2 linked regions of the Caenorhabditis elegans genome follow. The protein of the gene in region 1 interacts with the protein of each later gene in a pairwise test. Each region holds a gene or a part of one and is shown on either strand. Other genes may lie near its edges.

The links.
Region 2: the proteins of nhr-25 (region 1) and wrm-1 interact in binary tests that used the Caenorhabditis elegans proteins (3 or more experiments, as listed by UniProt).

Annotation. Positions count from the first base shown.
Region 1 is NC_003284.9:13,006,202-13,016,204, forward strand, and holds nhr-25 (Nuclear hormone receptor family member nhr-25), read left to right. Parts: upstream 1-2,291; 5' UTR 2,292-2,387; intron 2,388-2,684; 5' UTR 2,685-2,690; coding exon 2,691-2,807; intron 2,808-2,816; exon of another isoform or gene 2,817-3,019; intron 3,020-3,064; coding exon 3,065-3,097; intron 3,098-3,189; coding exon 3,190-3,298; intron 3,299-3,570; exon of another isoform or gene 3,571-3,712; intron 3,713-3,905; exon of another isoform or gene 3,906-4,088; intron 4,089-4,137; coding exon 4,138-4,321; intron 4,322-4,371; coding exon 4,372-4,496; intron 4,497-4,545; coding exon 4,546-4,833; intron 4,834-4,948; coding exon 4,949-5,223; intron 5,224-5,549; coding exon 5,550-5,668; intron 5,669-6,126; coding exon 6,127-6,372; intron 6,373-6,789; coding exon 6,790-7,012; 3' UTR 7,013-7,761; downstream 7,762-10,003. UniProt on the Caenorhabditis elegans protein: Orphan nuclear receptor and probable transcription activator, required during development. Plays a role in male tail tip morphogenesis regulating the expression of the transcription factor dmd-3 in a negative feedback loop.
Region 2 is NC_003281.10:5,719,495-5,728,590, forward strand, and holds wrm-1 (Armadillo repeat-containing protein wrm-1), read left to right. Parts: upstream 1-3,355; 5' UTR 3,356-3,388; coding exon 3,389-3,413; intron 3,414-3,464; coding exon 3,465-3,572; intron 3,573-4,115; coding exon 4,116-4,288; intron 4,289-4,345; coding exon 4,346-4,729; intron 4,730-4,918; coding exon 4,919-5,798; intron 5,799-5,847; coding exon 5,848-6,194; intron 6,195-6,246; coding exon 6,247-6,413; intron 6,414-6,469; coding exon 6,470-6,672; intron 6,673-7,152; coding exon 7,153-7,256; 3' UTR 7,257-7,621; downstream 7,622-9,096. Other genes in the region: LDL receptor repeat-containing protein egg-1, read left to right, coding at 8,689-8,741, 8,788-8,869, 8,914-9,096. UniProt on the Caenorhabditis elegans protein: Antagonistic role in the Wnt signaling pathway that operates in embryogenesis. When located at the cortex it has been shown to inhibit Wnt signaling during asymmetric cell division but when relocated to the nucleus it shows positive regulation.

The sequences.
Region 1 (10,003 bases):
GTGCTTCGTCTAATCCACATAGGTTTGACGCAGCGGTGTCACGTGCCTATTTGTCACAGCAAAATGGCTTCTGACTTTCTTCTTCGTCTTGTCTTTGCAATTTTTCGGTTCCCAAGCGCCATTTGATTAGTTAATAGTCAGCAGCTTTGCGCCAAATAAAAATCACGCAACACCACACCACGCCGCGCGAAAATAAGTTGATGAAAACGCAACACTCTTTTGTAAGAAAATCCAGCAGATGCCGTACGGTCTGTCTCTCAATTCAATATTGTCTCTTTTATCCGCGCCATTTTCCAAATGCGGGACATTTTCATCGGCGGGCCCCCGGCGCCGCAAGTTTTTCTTATTTTCCTCCCTCTCTTCACCTATTTCACTCCATATCTTTCTCTCTCTCCTCGTGTTGCTACTGTTTTTTCACACCCTTCTTTCCTCCTCCATTCTACCATGCCAACGCAAATTTTCTTCTTTGATCAGGAATTCCTTGTACATTCATCTTCTATCTCTATCTCTCTGATTTCTCCATCAATCTCGCCAAATGTTTACATCTGGAAGTATTGTTGCGCACCTCACACTGAAATTTGATACTGTTCTTATCTGATTGAGCTTAGTTGAAACATATGCATAGCTTATTCAAAATTTTGTTAAAGGCGTCATTTGACATACTTCCAATTTTTCTGCAATATTACACTGTCTCCGGTTGTTGCGCAGCCCTTTCTTTTTTTTGCCCGACTTGCACTTATCTTATCATATTTTCACTGATGATGTCTATAGCGCCTTTAACTATTTCATACATATACAAAATCCCGGATATAGTCATTGCCATATTTTATTTTCCTTTTTTTCCTAAGTATTTGTGGAAAGTTTAATACGAAAACCAATAAAATACGTGTTTTGAACTTATAATATAGAAAAACCTATTTTAAATTTAGATTAAAAACTATTTAAACCTAACAGGCATACCTTTAATTTAACCAGACGATTCAATTTTTGATAATGACGTTATCATAATTATGCAAAAATGATTAGCTTTCTACAATATACATTGTTAAATATCTAAACTTTGTTGAAATACCAGCTCAAAATGAGAATATAACTTTTTTAATCTAAGAACTATCAATATTTTGACGAAATTTTATATTCTATTTTTTTTAAATAACGTTTCTAGTCTTAGCTGAGCATGTTGCTTTTTGTGCATTTTTCGAGAATAACTTTTTTATTGTTCAGTATTTTTTAGAAAATAATTTCCTGTCTTGACTCTCTGAAATATTTTCGATGAGCTATCTCAATTAATCTCAATTTGGCTTCATTGTTAGTACACACGTTTAGAACCTAATGTTTTTAAGCTTCAAATAACCTGTAAACTTTTTTTTTTAATTCGGTCATTTTTGAGCGAAAAAAGTTTCACCCAGCGCCCCGCCCTTTTTTTAATAAAAAAAATGTCCAAAAACCAATTCTGCACGGTGAGATATCATCAAGATTCAGTAGAAGTTTTTAGATGCGAAATTTCAGACGTAGAGAACAGGATGACAAATTTTTATACTGGTAACATCTAGTAACATTTGACTTCGATTTTGATAATTTGTCTTATTTGTACTATTCATTTTTAAGCGGTTTCCTTGTTGGGATAATTTCTATCATATCGAAGCAGATAGTTTTTAACCGGAAGTGCTTTTCTATACAAGCATATGTCGAGTTTGTTTTATTTTGTTTTAAAAATTTATTTTATTTGGCGCTTCTAAAAATCTTTTTCCCAGGCTAACTTATATGGTCCTATTTACGTTATCTCTCGATATCTCCTCTTAACCGGCTGATTGCGTAATAAAATGTAGATAGCGAGAAAAAGGGGTGGAGGCGACTTTTAGGGTAGGCGATGAATCAAAGCAGTCTAGGTAGGTAATATAAGTGAATTGACGAAGAAAAAAAATGAAGAACAATGCAAAGAAAATCAAATCTCCTTTTCCCACCCGGGGGGCAGCAAGTGAGACTATAAAAAATCGAGACCCACCGTCCCTGCGGTTTTCGCGCGCTGCGCAGAGAGAACAAGAGATATTCAAGTTGAAGTTACTGGGCAAAAAACGAACTGTAGCGGTGCCTGGCACGACCCCTGACGATACGCCACTGAATTGCCATACTCACACGTTTGCTTTCTCCGTTGTCGTCGTCGATCGTTTTTCTTTACCTCCCGTCAAGAAGAAGAAGACCCCCACGTCCTCTTCTTTTCTCTTCCTTTTTTTCATCATTTTTTCCCTCTCGATCATCCCCTTCTCTCCCATCGACGTTCACTATTTCAGGCCTCCGCGTCGACCTTCAACTACGACTCTCTTCTATACATAGGTAGCCGTTGGCGGATTTTAGTGGACGAAGAAGACGAGCGGGTGTGTCTTACGGTATGTAGGTCCCCTCGGGTAGAGCATGGTGGAGGGTGCGAGACAACCAAAGACATCCAACGATAGGCTCGCTGATGCCGCCAGTGGTGTGGTGGGAGGAGATCGACCGGCCCAAGAGATCCACACGGCAGCGAACCACTTACTCTCACTTTTCCGACTCCGCCTACTTTTTCTTCCGTACCGTGCCATCCTTGGACAGGTCCTTCATACCTTGTGCCATTCAGCTATCCCTTTCTCAAATTCATTTTTCTGTTTTCAATTTCATTCGAACATACAGTAATCCGAGATCTGTTCCAGAAATAAATGACTGACGTCGAGAGGATGGTTCTGCGACCGAATCATGAAGGCGAGATGTGCCCGGTTTGTGGTGATCGAGTCTCTGGATATCACTACGGCCTTCTGACGTGTGAAAGTTGCAAGGTTAGTCTTAGATGTCTTCACTTTTTTTCCGCGGGAAAAAAGTGGGTGTGTGGCAAAATGATAAGGTCATTTGTAGTTAGTGAGAGTCCCGACTCAGGGACACGTTCGAGCCCTTCAAGGACAGACAACTCTCACCGCCAAAATCATTCACTTGTTGCCATATGACCCTCATCGGGCGGTCATCTCTAGTTTTTCATTTGATTCTTTTTTTTCCATTTATTGTTTCATTCTCTCCATCAATAATTTTCTCTTTACAGGGCTTCTTCAAACGCACTGTTCAAAACAAGAAGGTGAGTACATACATATGTATAAAAATATAACACTGTAGCTGATGTTATCTAAGTATTGTTTTCGACTTTCTCCAATTTGTCCCTTCTTTCAGCAATATCAATGCTCTGCCGAAGCCAACTGCCACGTGGATCGTACTTGCCGGAAGAGGTGTCCAAGCTGTCGATTCCAGAAGTGCCTCACAATGGGAATGAAAATGGAAGGTAAGATATCTATCATATCTAAAAGAGCGCAACCGCTCTTCTGTAAGAGCACATACTGTGCTGACTTCTTGATTGATGGGATAATAAGGGATGTAACCGTTATCGAAAGTCCATCTCTATAAAAATTTTGAATTTGCACTTTAAGCAGCGTCATAAGCTTGTTCCACGTAATCATCGCGCAAGGCTTACACTTTTTGTGGATTTCTACTTCTCCTTTCTTTCATCTCTGTTACATGTTTCTCTCTCTCTCGTTTTTCTTTTCGTTTCGTTTTTGCATGACAACAAAAACGATATATTGAAAAGAGAGATGCAAAATTGGATATGAAACGGTGAGAGTGGAAGAGAAGAATAGATCTGACAGTCACCGAAAAACCGGTACCTGGAGACCTGGGGGTGGAGGCGCGCATCTCAAACGCTCTATGGCAGGCGCGCAACCATTTCAAATGTTGGAGAAAAGTGAGGCAACACCTTGGAAAACAACTGAAGTTCAGTGAAGTTTTATTAGGACATCCGGTGCATCATAAAAGAACTATTGGCATTCGGGGAAGTAGTAAAAGTGCAAAACAATAGTAGCCGGCTCGATAATTATAGGTGCTGAACAGTACCTTTGTTGGGAAAACATGAAGTGCCGAACTCATTCATTGCGGCGCGTTTTTCGTGAGGATCTCAATTGCAGGGTGTCGCATGTTTTGCGGCAAAAATGACTGCACTTGCCCACTCTACTCCAGATCAAATGAGCCGTGTGTACAGTCATCTGGCGGGTACAAACGGGGAACTGTAAATTGAAGGGGGAACATCGAAATGAGTGTGTGCACTTGGATAATGACTATGTTTTGTAGCGGTGCGTGCCGATAGGATGAGAGGTGGACGAAACAAGTTCGGATCGTTTTATAAGAAGGATCGGGCTCATCGTATGCAGAGAAACGCAATGAGAGTGAGCACAGTGCAAGTTCCAGCCGTCCTTGGAGCACAATCACAAGCACAAACATTCTATCAACCTCCAGAGCACCAGGTTTCAAGCAGGTGAGCTTTATTTCTTATATTTCTTTCAACTTATCAATCTCATATTTCAGCACAACTGACCAGAACAACCAAATCAACTATTTTGACCAAACTAAAATCAAAACTGAATATATCAAAACTGAGTATGATGCACATCTCCAGAGTCCAACATTGTCCAGTAGCACTAATCAGCAGCGTAAGAATATTTTCTGGAGTTGTTAATAGCATCAAATTATAAATTTCAGTTTCTGTTTCCGATTTTATCATGAGACCTGGATACTTAGTTGACCCACAAGACAGCTTGGCAGTACTTCTTGGGAGCACAATTGACGACCCACTTCTCAGGCATACCTTCCCAGCAGCTTATCAGTTGAATGAAGTCAAACAGGAGCCATTTGACTATTCGGAGCAGTTCATTCATCACTCATTGCACGACTATCCAACTTATACCAGCAACACTACCAATTATGCTACAATGATGCCAATGACAACTGTTTCCAGCACACAATCCTTGGTCACTTCGACTTCTTCTAGTAAGTTTTAGTTTTTTTATCGCTTTTTCTTGTCTTCAGTTTATAGTTTCAACATTTCAAATTTTTGATTAAGTTTTTTTTTAATTTTTGAAATGTTAACATTACTTAATTTCAGCAACAACTGGCCGAATGACAGAAGCTAGCAGCACATCACCAATTCTCCCACTTTGCCCAGCACCAACTGAAAAAACGGTGGACCACTTTTACAACAGCTCGATCGCCGAAATGTGCAAAACATTACCCGATGATGCTCAAATTGCTCGAATTTTCACAAGCGTAAAAGGAACTAGCAAACCTGAAAAGCACGCATTTTCCATTCAAGTCGCAGAGGAAAATTTGAAAGATATCGTGATTTGGGCAAAAAATGATCAACTATTCAGCAAATTATCGGTAAAATAATACATACAACAATATAATAATCTAGGCACTCTCATTTCCCACCAGCGGTTTTTTTCTAATATTTTTATTCTCTATTTCCCACCCTGATGAGATGGGAATAATGTAGATAAATTGCTCGCTTCCGGTGATCAAAAGAAACAATCGCCGCTATAAAAAGAGGCGCTCCTTCTCAAAAGGTACATCCCCATACAAACACACCTCTATTGTTTTCATTACGGACACCCATTATGTACTAGGAGTAATTGCACCGCAACCTTTTTATATCCTGAGTGTGATAAGTAATTGGTTGAAGATTTACTAAAGTGCATTTATTCCAGTTGGATGACCAAATGATTCTGTTGCAAACATCGTGGACAACCGTTCATATCGTTGATATCACTAATGCAATGGTCCACGGAAATCTTCTTTCGCAGTATAAAATGTCAAATGGTGATGAGTAAGTTGTTAAAATTTCTTTGAGTTCCATTCTTCCTAAGGCTCGGAAACAATTTTTGTGGAACGTTTGATTCTGGCTATTTAATGAGTCAATCAACTTCCAACGCAACACAACTACTATAAACAAACCGATCTGACAGCGGCGTCTATAAGATTAGGCTATAAAGATTTGGCGATAAATCTTGACTCATCTATCTCGATTACCCACCTTTTTTGCCTCTCGCAACATTGGGTGCCGACATGACGCAAGTCTTGATTCTCGGCACCAGATAAGATCTTCGTCCCGCGAGCTCATCGTATAAAGTATTGCGCATTTTCCCACTACCGGCATAGGCTCTAATAAGGATTAGGCTACCATTTTAGTTACGTAATTGTTGTGAAAACGAGCCGGTGGTCTTTCAAAAGTTCAAGACCTTTTAAGGCCCAATAAACCACTATAAAATCGTATTCTTTTTGCAGAGTTCCCGTCGGTCTTGTAGCTCTTCTTGGCAATCAAACATTCGTATCATCATGGAATGATGTTGTTATTCGGCTTCGAAATATGGGATTCACGAATTTCGATTATTGTGCTTTCCGATTCTTAGCCCTTTTTGACCAATCAATGGACTCTTTCCCAGCAGTCTCTACTGCTCGATCTCGAGTACTCCAATCTTGGCGTGAAGTGAGATGTACTACCGCCTTTCTGGAAATTTTCGAACAAATCAGGTAAACCTTTGGCCTTCGTAAAAACCCATCACAAATCAATCTTTCCCCTCGCCTCCACACAAATTAGCAACGTTGCCGTATAATTAGTGCTCATCTCTCCCTCCAAAAACTTGTTGTATACAGGAGACAAAGAATTGGGGAGAGAAGAGAAGCATCGGAAGAGTGGAGAAAAAAACTTATAATAGGAAGGCTCATTTATTCTGGTTGGATAGGTGCGCGAGGAGAAGGAAACAGATTAGAAAACGGGGCACAATATGTATACGGTATTGTTGCGCAGCAGGTGGCACTAAGAACGGGGAGAGAATCTTTACTAAATACATATGAATAGACAGAAAACAACTTGACTTATGAATATGCATTGGGAAATATGAATAAGTCGATTAATTACTTCTTACAATCTATTCTTTCTAATTTCAGACGACTCGCTTACGACTCACTACGGTACTTATGGAACCTTCATTCAAACTGCCCCACGAACTGGGAGCAATTCTTTCCGGAAGCCTCCTTGGTTCTTGAAATGATTCGCACTACTGTCAACCGATCGGCTAGCAGTAGCGTCACCGCAATCACTCAGGTCCCAGCAATCCAACTGCCAACCCCACAAGCCACATACACTGCTGTGCCGTACATGGCATCATAATGTCTCTGTCATAGGAGCTGAAAACTTCCAATGGAGTCAGTCAGCAACTCCCTTTGTTTAGCGATCTCGCTCAACTCTTCCATTTTTACGGGACCGGTTTTTTCTGTTGTCAATTACAGACAGCCAGTATTTTCTGCATAATTCCCTTATTTCACTTATTCAACTTTATAATATCAATATCATTTTATACCTCAAAAACCTCCATCCATGCATTTCAATTCATTTTCTTCAAGATCTATTGAATATCTTGCATTTTTCGTGCTGTGTCAGCTTTTAGTCGGTTGTACTTTATTTAAATCATTTGCATTTTTTCAATTCTCATTTTGTCTCAATATCTGTGTATCCTAGTGCCCAAACCCTCACAGCTTTTAAATGTATTTTGCTCTATTTTTTTTTCATTCAAAAATCTTTCCTCTCAAAACCCATTTTCCTAGGTCACGAGCCAATCAAAATTGGCACTTTATTATTATTATTGTTTCTCCCAACAAAAATCTGAAAATTCCGAAAAAACGTTCTCTGCCGAACTCTTCTCATCTTCCCAAAACTTTAAGACTGTTCTCTTCTGCAAAACGGATAATTGTTTTACATGCAATTAATATATTTGTATTTTGTCTGAATTCGCCCCCATTTTATTTCTTTATGGATTTTTATGTTTGGTTGTTTTATTATTCTTTTTTTCTTTGATTTTGATCAATCAACACACCTCACTTGTTTTGTATGTGCAGATCGTATATAAAAATTGAAATTTTAAATTATTTGAAATACTTTTACAAAAAATATTAAAATGAAGTATTGCGATTGTAGGATGAACTTTCAGGTTTTTGTGGATTTAAAAAAATAAGACTTGGTTTTTATTTGGTTCTGAAAACTTTCAGAAAACTAGACTTTAGTTTAAAATTTTTAAGACCAATCTTTTAAACTTAAATACTTTGTAGAGTGAGTACAGTTCACTCTGGATGTGAAAGTACTTTTCCCACTTATCTGTCTATTTTTGCCCTTTATTTTCCTCGCCTTGTCTACAAAGGGCGTTTTTCCTATATTTTGTGTCAGTTGCCATATAGGAGTATTACTTTCAGAACGAAAAAAAGTGAATGGTTACTTTTCGATTCTGCGTCTTCTTTGTAACTATTGAACCTTAAAAAATGACAATAAATATTCCACCTATAGGTAAAAAGAAGAGAAAAAAATCAAAGCCCCTTGTCTCCCTACGCTTTTTTCTTCCACCACCCACGGAGAGGCCCAACGATTTAACCGAACTGGTTTTATATGTCTTCTTCGTCTTTTCCATTTTTTTTTGGTCGATCAAAGAAAGAAAATGAGAGGTACCCCCACCCTCACACGCACCGACGATTCTGCAGTTTTTCAACTTGCGCAGACATCATTCTGAAAGAAGGAGATGAAGACACACTACACGCATAAAAAATCGAGAGAAGCAGTTAGATGAAGGAGGAAAGGAAGATGTCATGAAATTCGGCAAATCGATTACGATGGTTCTGGTATTGCATGAGAAAATCATACAATAAAGTTAGGTTAATGTTGGAACAGTGGAAGGGATCAAAAGCTTGAATTTGTAGATGCTTACAATAATTGTTTTTTTGTGTAGGTTTAAGAAAATTGTGCAGCAACATATGTTATAGCATTATCTGGTTATTTGATTTTAGCAATACAAGTTATTTCGGGACAGTTTCAAAAATAGAGCAGTGAAACACAGAAATTGATTGGTTTTTAATTTTGAAATCCTATACCGTATTCCCTTGATTAGTCTTGTAGGAAGACTATTTTCCGATCTGCCCGTAATGATGCAAAATCAAGAAAACGTGATTTTACGGCGTTGGAGCCATGAAAAAACGTAATTTTTCATCATTTTTTTTCCAATCGTTCAATTATTCCAAGTTTATTTTACCCCAATGCTGACAAATTTACTGAGTTTTCCCACAAAGTACGACTAGTTGGTAAAATATGAATGCAGGACTATTAGGGTCTGCAAAAGAAATTTTTGATTATCTTGTTGGGGTGCAATACTAAACCCATAAAAAACGTACTTTTCCATTATTTTTTCAGTCGTTTGAACATTTCAAAGTTTGTTTTACCCCAATTCTAAAACAATTGCTGAATTTTACCTAAAGTTCCACTGGTTGGTAAAAAATAAATGCAGGACTATTAGGGCCTGCAAAAGAAATTTTTGATGAGCTTATTGGGGGTGCAAGACTAATAGGGGCGCAATCATTTCATAGAGTACGCACCTAGTAGAGGAAATACTGTAAGTAAACTGATAAATATCGTATAAAAACTACAACATGCTCAGTTCTCATGAAATTTCTTCAAGTTTAAAATATACGAAAAATCATTTCAAAAGTTCAAAAACAACCCATCCTGCAGATTTCGTAATCTTTTAATAGTATTCAATGAAATGTTATTGTTAAATTGTTTATTTCAGGAGCAATCCCTATTTCTTTTCGATAATATTGTTTTGAATATTTTTTGTGGAAACTAAAATTTTATGTATATGTTTTGATGGAATTTTGTGTGAAACTTTAAAAGAAAAATCGTAAGTGATGGAGCAACGCTATAAGAAAAATACAGGATTTTCACAATTTGAACGACAAAGTCAAAATCAGTCAAAATATTAGAAACTGTTGAGCTCTTTTGAAATACAAAAACATACAATTTATTATCGTGGTCCTCTGTTTTTGTTGCTCTGGTAATATCTCGTTAGGACTCTCATTACCAAGAATGTTCGCAGAAGTTTTTTGTTTTTGTTTTGCTTGTCAAAAATGTATTTTCTCTGGATTTCTCTATGATTAAAACAAAAAAAAACAAGTACTGCAGACTAGAAAAGTTTATTCAACAAAATGGCGATGTTTGTATAATATAACATATTTCACCCCAATTATAACACAATGTTTAGCGGCCGACATCTTACAAATTTGTTTTTTTTTTGCATTCCACATTTGAAAATAATATTCTCTCTAGTTGACAAAGTTTTAAAAT
Region 2 (9,096 bases), on another chromosome or scaffold:
ATAGGTTGTACCACACATTAATAATAAGCTTCTCAGTTTTTGACTTTATTTTTGGAAAGCTAAACACGCTCTAATGCTTCAACAAAAGTATATATTTAATTATGTACATAAACACACATGCGTCCATACTTTTTGGTCATTTCTGGTGATGACAATATTTGAGATGGGATATCCGAGAGGATTATTGCGCAATTCGCACTGCAATCCGATATCTTCGACTTTTATTATCCATTCTTCGACTTGTTTCTAGCACAAACAAGTTGAGAAGTCTTTTGTGAAACTATTTTTACTTGTGACGTGGTCTGAACAGTTTAGCGTGACATTCAAGTGAAGTGGTACTTGAACAAATGACATGTACAGTTGGTCAAGAGGTCGTCTACTTATTTTAAATTTGAATATAGTTTTAAATGAAGTATACATTCATGCTTTGAGCATTAAAAATGATTTCCAAAGAAAGCAACTAAAGAATTTTGAATTGCCTCCAAATTGCTTCACTGACGCACTTTTCGATATCTAGCGCATTTCTCGATAACCCAACATGCGCCAACACTTTTCATTTTTTTGATTTTCATGAAATTTCAGTTAAATTCCGAAAATATCGCTTGTTTTTCAAAAAATCACTCACTATTTATTTAAATTATCAATGAGAGTGTTAAAATCGATGCTCTGTTATGCAAAAATACCAGTTTTTTGCTTTAAAAAAGATAAAAATCATAATTTATTTGTTAAAGAACAGTTTTAAAGTTTTTCACGAGCAAAAAGATCAGAAATTCACTAGTAATTATTTTGCAGTTTTTTTCGTAGTAGAAAATAATTCAAATACACCCATAATAAATAGCTTCGTAAATCAGAATTTTATTAGCATAACCCTAAACACCAAAGTTTACAACTATTACTATTACTGAGAAGATGACATTTCCGCCACCTATTTAATTAGTCTCATTTTTACAATCCTCTTTCATTCACTCACTTGCATTCCAATTACTGATTCTATTTTCCATCTTCTTCCTCTCTTCTCATTATGCACAGAGTCTTTCTCTGGGTTAATTCGATACAATTCAAATCGTGTGTCCCGTCCCTCCAGTTGAATTCAATTCATTTTCGAATTTACCACCCCTCATTCATTCCTCCACTGGGTTTCTCTGGTCACTGTGGCGAACGAATGGTGCAAAAGGAGTCCATACATTGCGTCACACTGTCTGTGTATCTCTCGTTCAGCATACTATCTCATCGGACCGTTTCTCACACGGGGCACCTTTCCCCTGGTCATTCATTCACCCTCTGCTTGGGTCTGTTTGTCATCAGGCACATTCGTACACTTTCTTGTCCACCATTCACCCACACCATCTTTCCCACCACTCTATTTTTCTATAGATTTTACTCTGCTGCTCCAATTATCGACTTTGCCCAATTAGCCGTAGGTGTGTGGATTTTAAAAACTGTGTCATCAAGGCATCACTTTCAAATCCGTTTTACTGAGAAAGTGTCCTTGAATCGACGTTCTTCCGTTCGAAATCTTCACGCTTATGCAAACATATGGAGACAGATGTTTTCTGAAGCGATAGGGAGAAAAACGTGGGAAACAGGTGCAACAGTTGCTTTTATTTGCCAATTTTTTTTTGGTTTTTCTGCAAAATTTTCGACTATTTCTCTGCCTTTAATTTCCATTGAAAATTCCTGTATTTTTCGTAAATTTTTTGCCAAATTATGTTTTAAATTTCTCAAATTTGTACCCGAATTCACAGGAATCATTTAGAACACGATTTGTCGATATTGAAACAAAAAACTCAAAGTTAGTTGATTTTCAACAACACGAATAAGCTGAAAATTTCCGATTTATCAACATAAATCATGTGAAAAATGCAATTTTTGACTTGAACCCTACTTTTAGAGGTGAAAATTGAGGAATTTTGCAGATTTTCGGCCAGAAATAGTGAAATATCAGTTTTTTTTGTTAAAACTGAAATTTAGCAGAATTTCAAAAAGAAAAAAAAAACAGGTTTTGCATTTCACAAAAAAATGTTAAATTCTCTAAAATTGATTTTTCCTCGCCGCTGCTCTTGATTCTTCCAATTTCCGGTTCATTTTCAATTCCCCTAAATCCGGCTTTCATTTTTTCTTTTCCTTCTTCTCATCCTCACGCCTCACTTGATATCCTCAAAGTCATAGATTCAAATGTTTCTTCGTCACATTTTTGTCTCCGATGACACGCCTGATGATTTAATAATGTGGTCAAATTGATTGATTACTAGTTGGTTGTTGTCTCTTTCTCTACGAGTCGTGTACACACTGATTCCCTTCAGCCTGAGCAGGTGCATATTATCCATTCGCCAATGCTTCTCCTTTTTTTCGAGCTAACTCGCAAGGTTTTGATTAAAATTTAAATAAAAAACTTTAATCCCAAATCCAGAAATTTTCACATAAAACATTTGTGTGGCCTTTCGAAGTAAACTTCCTGCTCAACGGCATCACATTTTCTTTGATTTATTCACTAGATTAACTTTCAGTATTGAAAGCTTCAATCGAATTCAAAATGTATTGATTCGCGGCGCGGAGGTTTCTAGGCCACCGGCTGTGTACTCCTCTCGGACGGGCGATGCCATTCTTCTTATCAGTTTAAATCTTTTTTTCATCGCAAAACTTACTGATAAACTTTGTGAGTTACGTATTTAATAGGAATAATTTTCTCTCCGCTATTTTCGGATTAAATTTCCCCGAAACATTTTGCAACTGGCCGTTCGTCCTGCTGTTTGAACAGCATTCAAGTGTTGACCCCCCACAGAGTATATACCCATATGAACTGATTTATTGGTTACCCCCGATCGTTTTGCATTTATTATCCATTCACCAATGTTTCAGAAATTCAAAATTTTCTACAAGTGGCTGACTATTCGAAAAAAAAAAATAGAATAAGGTGTCAAAAAGTCTGTCAATATTGAAAAAAGCTCAGTGTCCACTTGAGTATGTTTGACTTGGAAGGTGTGAATAGCAGTTGCTCGAAAGACAATAGGAAAGGGGTTTTGTACTTTTGCACAGCATTCTGAGTTATTTTCTAAAATGAAAAAAATTATTTTTTAAACTTTTCTGTAAATTATATTAAAATTGAGAAAAAAACTATTGCTTTGATTCAAAAAACTCATAAATTAAACAATTTTTAAAATATTTTCTAGTTGCTGCAAGAATTAGATACAATTCTCACAAATCCAAAAGTTCGTAATTCTTTTAACTTCTCTTGAAACTTCTTCATTTTTTTGTGAAATCTCCACACACATCCGATTACTTTCCTTTATTCCCCTCATCAATGGCGTTTTCTCAGGTTCTCACATCGAAATTTCTCATTTTAGCTTAGTTTCAGGTTCCTCAACGGACCTGCAACCACCCATCTGAAATGGATGTGGATTGCGCAGAAACATGTAGGTTCCCCCTTGAAATAATAATTATTAAAAAAATCAATAAAATTTCAGTCTCGCAACCATGCACTCCGCTGAATTTCAATCCGATGACTCCGTCAACATCGAGAGTTTCAACACCAGTTCGGCCGTCTTCTACAATGTCTGCCAGACAATATTCAGGTGAGAAAGATATGAAATTTTGGCTTTACTTCGAAAAAAAGATTAAAAGCGGCCAATTTATGCTTAAGATTTTTAATATTCGGAAAAGAATTATTGTAATCTGAGAATTACTTTCATTTAAGCTGGAATAATTGAAAAGTGCTCCGAAAATTGTCTGAAAGTTGAGAATTGCCCGACAAAATTTTCGACAAATCATCGAAAATTTTTTTCAATTTCTCAAACTGAAACAAAAGTTATCTTCAGATAAAGCAAATATTATTTTCTACTGAAAACATGCCACACTGGCTCAATTACCGCGTACCCCTGATCTAGAATGATTGAATAAAAACTCGTTTGCATAACAATTAATCCAAGAATTTCCTGGTCGATAACATATTCCAAAAGGCCATTTCGCGCCCTTTTCTCTCTCGACCCTCTCCAATCACATCACCTTATCACTTCCCCCATTCCATTTTCGTATGTCTCGTGTGTCTATGTGTTCCCCATTGGAAACTTCCCTCAAATTACATACCTCTTTTCACATATTCATATTTCATTTTTCAGGTTCGCCGTTCAAGGCTCAACCTCAGAACATGGAACCGTCCAATTCTCGGGTGCAAGAACTCCGGGAAGCTGCTGTGGGAAAGCGATCATACACAAATGCTTGGATGCAGGGTACCTATGCACCGCCGCAGATGGCAGGACAACAACAAAGGTTTTCGAGGCCTCCGAGTGTGGTAAGAGATTTTTATAAGAATTCCGCGGCTTGAACAGATAATAAAATCAAATTTCAGATCGGCTCCACAATGTCTCACATGACGAATATGTCAGAAATGACCGCCTACTCGTACGGTGGATTGTCAATGCTCTCAGTCAACACTGAAATGGGTGAATTCAACAATTTTGTCAATCAGGCACCATATCAGCGAGCACTGACACGTGTATCGCAGGTTTCCGAGAATCAGGATCCGACGAATCGACAGTATCCGATGACAGCTCCCGAGATTATTGAGAATCTGGAATCAACGGAACTAATCAATCAAGCAGCAGCGATTCGAGCTTTGGAGCCAATTGTGAAAGCTGGTGGAATGTTGCAAACCTGGGGACCTAAAGGAGCCGAACCGATTATTCGAGCTCTGTTTCAAGTTCTTATTCCTCGGCCAGTTGAGAATGAGAATGTAAGTTTTGCATAAATGTTCGTTGAAGGTTTTCATGGTAGGTAGGAACATCGTCATCCCTAAGTGGATGCCTACAGCCTAATATTGTTTAAAAATCTAAAATCTAAATCTAAAAAAATCTTTCAAAAAAAAAAAAAAATATATATAGATGTATTAAAATATCGTTTGACAACTCCATATTTTTTGTAGGTAATCCGGAAAGCGTTTGAAATTCTCCACCACTCAATTCTTCTCTCCAACAAGGAAATCCGACGTATCGACAGGATGTTCTTCCGACTGAATGCGGCATTAATGGATCCCAATGGGCCGCCTGTGTTCAATGTACCAAAGCCATACAGTATCTATGAGATCGTGATGACACGTGCCATTCAACTTGACACGAAATTCGAGTCCAGTGCTATGGTTCTGCTCGTACATCTTTGTTGTAAACCTCATTTCATGAAGATTTTCTTTGGAGAAGATGAGACTCAACAGTCACCAGCACATCGACGTCTTCACAAAATAGTAATTGAATTTGCAATTGGAAACCTGAGAAGACCGGAAACGAAGTCAAAGAATAAGGGACTTTGTGTATCGATTATTAAGAATTTGTCGAATAAAAATGCAACTATCAAAGATATGTCAGAACGTCTTGGTGTTGTGAGCCTCTTTCATCAAATTATGCAGAACGAAGTGATCCACGAGGATTTGTTGTGGTCAACGATGCAGGCTCTTACCGTATTCTGTGGAGATGTTAAGAATGGAACACATTTTGTGCAAATGGGTGGAGCACAAGTTTTGTGCGGTCTTCTTTCGCATGGATCAACACGACTTCTTCACGAACTTCTGAAGTGTTTGAGACGAGTATCAGATTTGCCAGCGATCCAGGAGCAGGATATGAAAGAATCGATTCATTGTATAGTTCAACTTATTGGATGTTCGGATGTAACGATTGTTGAGCTAGCGACTGGAACTCTACGAAATATTGGACTTCATAACAAGATGAACAAGGCATTTATGGTGCAGGATGGAGTTACAAGTCATGCGATCGCAGTTCTTCGGACATCTGAACAGTTTACATATCAGCCACGTTAGTTTTGAAATATTCAATCTGAAATTCTAATTTACTTATTTTTCAGATGCCAATATAGATTTATATAGAAAGCAGATTCTGTCGATTTATGAAAATTGTCTATCCGTATTGAACAATGTGACTTCTATGGCACCTCAAGATATCAAAGAATCTGCAGTATCAGCGTGTAGAATGATCAGTGAGAATGCCGACTCCGCATATGTGCTCCTTCATTACTTTAACGTTGGAAATCGGAAGTGCAGGAAACTTGCGGTGACAGTAATGAAACGTGTCATTGAGACGGTTCCTGCTTTTGCTGATCCGTTTGTTGATCTACTTGGAACAACAAATGAGCCACTACCAATTTTATTGCTTCAAAGAGCATTCCAGAGTTTGGACGAATGGCGGAAAACTGTAAGCTATAAATTAAATTCGTAGAAACAAATAAATTATAATTGATTTTCAGAGCGTTGAAATGATGAATTGTGACGGTAGAAGTGCTGAGCAGAGAAGAGAATTAGATGACAGACGAAAAGATCACGAAGATATTGTAAAACGATCTGTGGGACTTTTAACGAATCTTTGTAGTCAGGCAAATCCAAGATTTTTCCACAGTTTGAAGCTAGTATTGACGTAAGTTTTTTACACTGAAAATCACAATTGAAATAATTAATTTCATTTTATTCCAGAAATGGCACGCTAAACCCCTTCCAATGGCTGACACATGAGATGAGTGACGGTATTCTGCAAGAGTGGCTAGCATTCATTTTGTCAATTTGTAGTCGTGACGAGTCACTGCAAACTTTTATGATGTACAGATTCCTGGAACAGGCAAAAATGACTGAAGCATTCTTTGCGGAACTCAAGGCTCGTCGGCAGAATTCGAATATTCGTGAGTTTTTAACTTCTGAAGAAACTAACAAAAAATACGAATTTTTAAAATACACAAACGCGAAATTTTTCAATTTTGCGCCAAGAATTACGGTAACTTTTTGTTGAATGCAAATATGTGCTTTCATAAATAGTTTTTTTTGTAAAAAATATACGTTTCAATTGAAATATTTGGGGGTTTTGTGAATTATTATTTATGAAAACCTATGAACAATCTATGAAAATTCAGCAGAAACTAAAATTTCATAATGCAGGACTTTTAAAGGCGCACACCATTTTGCATTTAACAAAAGCTTGTCGTGTCGAGACCGGGTACTGTATTTTTGGCGCAAAATTTAGCTACTTCCAGAACATTAAAAGCCTCTTCATTTCTATCACTGCGATAAAAAAAATTACAACCGTGTTTAGAAATTTTATAAATTCTGAAATATGAAATTTTTTATTCCCATAATTCCCTTTTACAATTCACGATCTATTTCAGAAACTATGTTGTCAAAGATCATCGATCTTGGTAGACATCAGCAGAGAATAGTTTCACAACAACATCAACAGCATCAAATGCAGCATCATCGACAACTAATGTGAATGAATCTTTGTGCGGGTACAGAATTCCCTACTCCCGGTGCACAGACACACAATCTCAATCAAATCGATCTTCCAGTTTTATTCATGTGCTATTATATATTTATCTTCATTCCATCCCCATGTTCCCTTATGTAGTTTCACATCAAATACCCACTTCATTTCGTTGTTCTCATTATCAGTATTTGGAGCATATCACTCCCCAATCTAATTAGTTTTTTCCCATCTATCCGTATTATTTGTTGCTCACTTCATTTCTCCAACCATCTCTCAATTATCTCATGTTCTATTACAAGTGCGAACTCTTTTCGACAATTTGATAACGGGCCCTTTTTTTTCGTCTATCGTGTATATGAATTATTTATTAGACTTTAATCTAGAAGACACAAGAAGATTCATCTAGAAGACACAAGAAGACGGACAAAAATTATGATGTAAATCAGAGAAGAGATCAGATATGAGATGAAGGAAGCAATGCGCCAAGCACGATCACCACCAGTTTCAACTGTGTGCACACCATTCGAAAACGTGTAGCAGTGCGCAAAGATGGCGCCAGTCTGAAAAATTGTAAAATTTTGTTACTTTTTTAGAGGATCGCTGGATACCCAAAATAAGATCTGAAGCAGGAAGTGGGCAAAGACGGAAAATGTATTCGGGGCACAAATGATGAACAGGGATAAGCCGACAAGAAGAAACTGAAATATTGAAAAAAAATTGCCACGTGTCACATACATACAGGCGGTCTCACTTCAAAGACATACCACCACGGCTACGAATTTTTGACAAGCAAAATGTGCAGGGTCAGAATGGCACAATGAATGAGTGCCATCATGATGAACCACACATAAACTGGCATACAGAAGCATGGATCTTGCGCAGTGGCTCCTAGCTCAGATCCCGATTGAGCTCTGCCACGTGGTTCCTCTGGGCGTTGGGTCCTAGATATTGAAATTTTATTGGGATTTCAGAACTTGGTTAATTCGATTGAAAACCTAGAAGTCGATGGACTCACTCAATATCGCGATTACACTGGTTCTCAAGCATATTATTCAGACACTTTATTTGAGTTAAAACTTAAAAATACATTTCATTTGTATTATTTTTCGATTCACGTGTTTTCATTATTTAAATATTTTTTGCGGAAAAATATTTCAACTAAAACACTTTTTGAATAACGCGCGCTTTTCTTGCGGGTTTCGCAACGATTACAGTACCCCACTGAAAATTTTCAAGGCGCGATTATGATTTTCGGAAGTTAGTCTTGAAGCGACTTTACAAAACATCTTTGATCTAGACTTTGACCCACCGTTATTCTTAGCGGGAAAATATAAATTTTCGCCCAACCCTAACTTGATTTCTTTCATTCACGATGCGGTTTTGTTTTTTCTTCTACGCCTTTTTTCCATCTTTTCATCAAATTTAAAATTTTCAGGCTATGAGCCAGCAACCCGGATCCGCTCGACGTGTGAACTTCCCAGAGGAGCCAATGTAAGAAAATTAGATTTATTTCATATTTAAGTTTCTTCAATTTCAGGACGCTGGGAGAAAAGTTCAGCCATCGAATGGATCAGTTAAAGGAAATAATAGCCGATGGAGGTTGCTCACGTGCTGCAAAGGTTGGATGATGATCCGGATTAACTTTTTTAATTAATTATTTCAGTGCGTGTCAATCACCGTTTGCCTGGTTCTGCTGGTTCTCATTTTTGGTGGCGCGATCGTTTACCTCGTCATGTCACTGACTTCTTCTGCTCAGAAAATGTCAGCCGATAGTATGGATATCTCTCCACAAGCTATTCGTCATCCGAAATTCTGGCCTCCAACCGACAAGATTCGTTTTGATGAT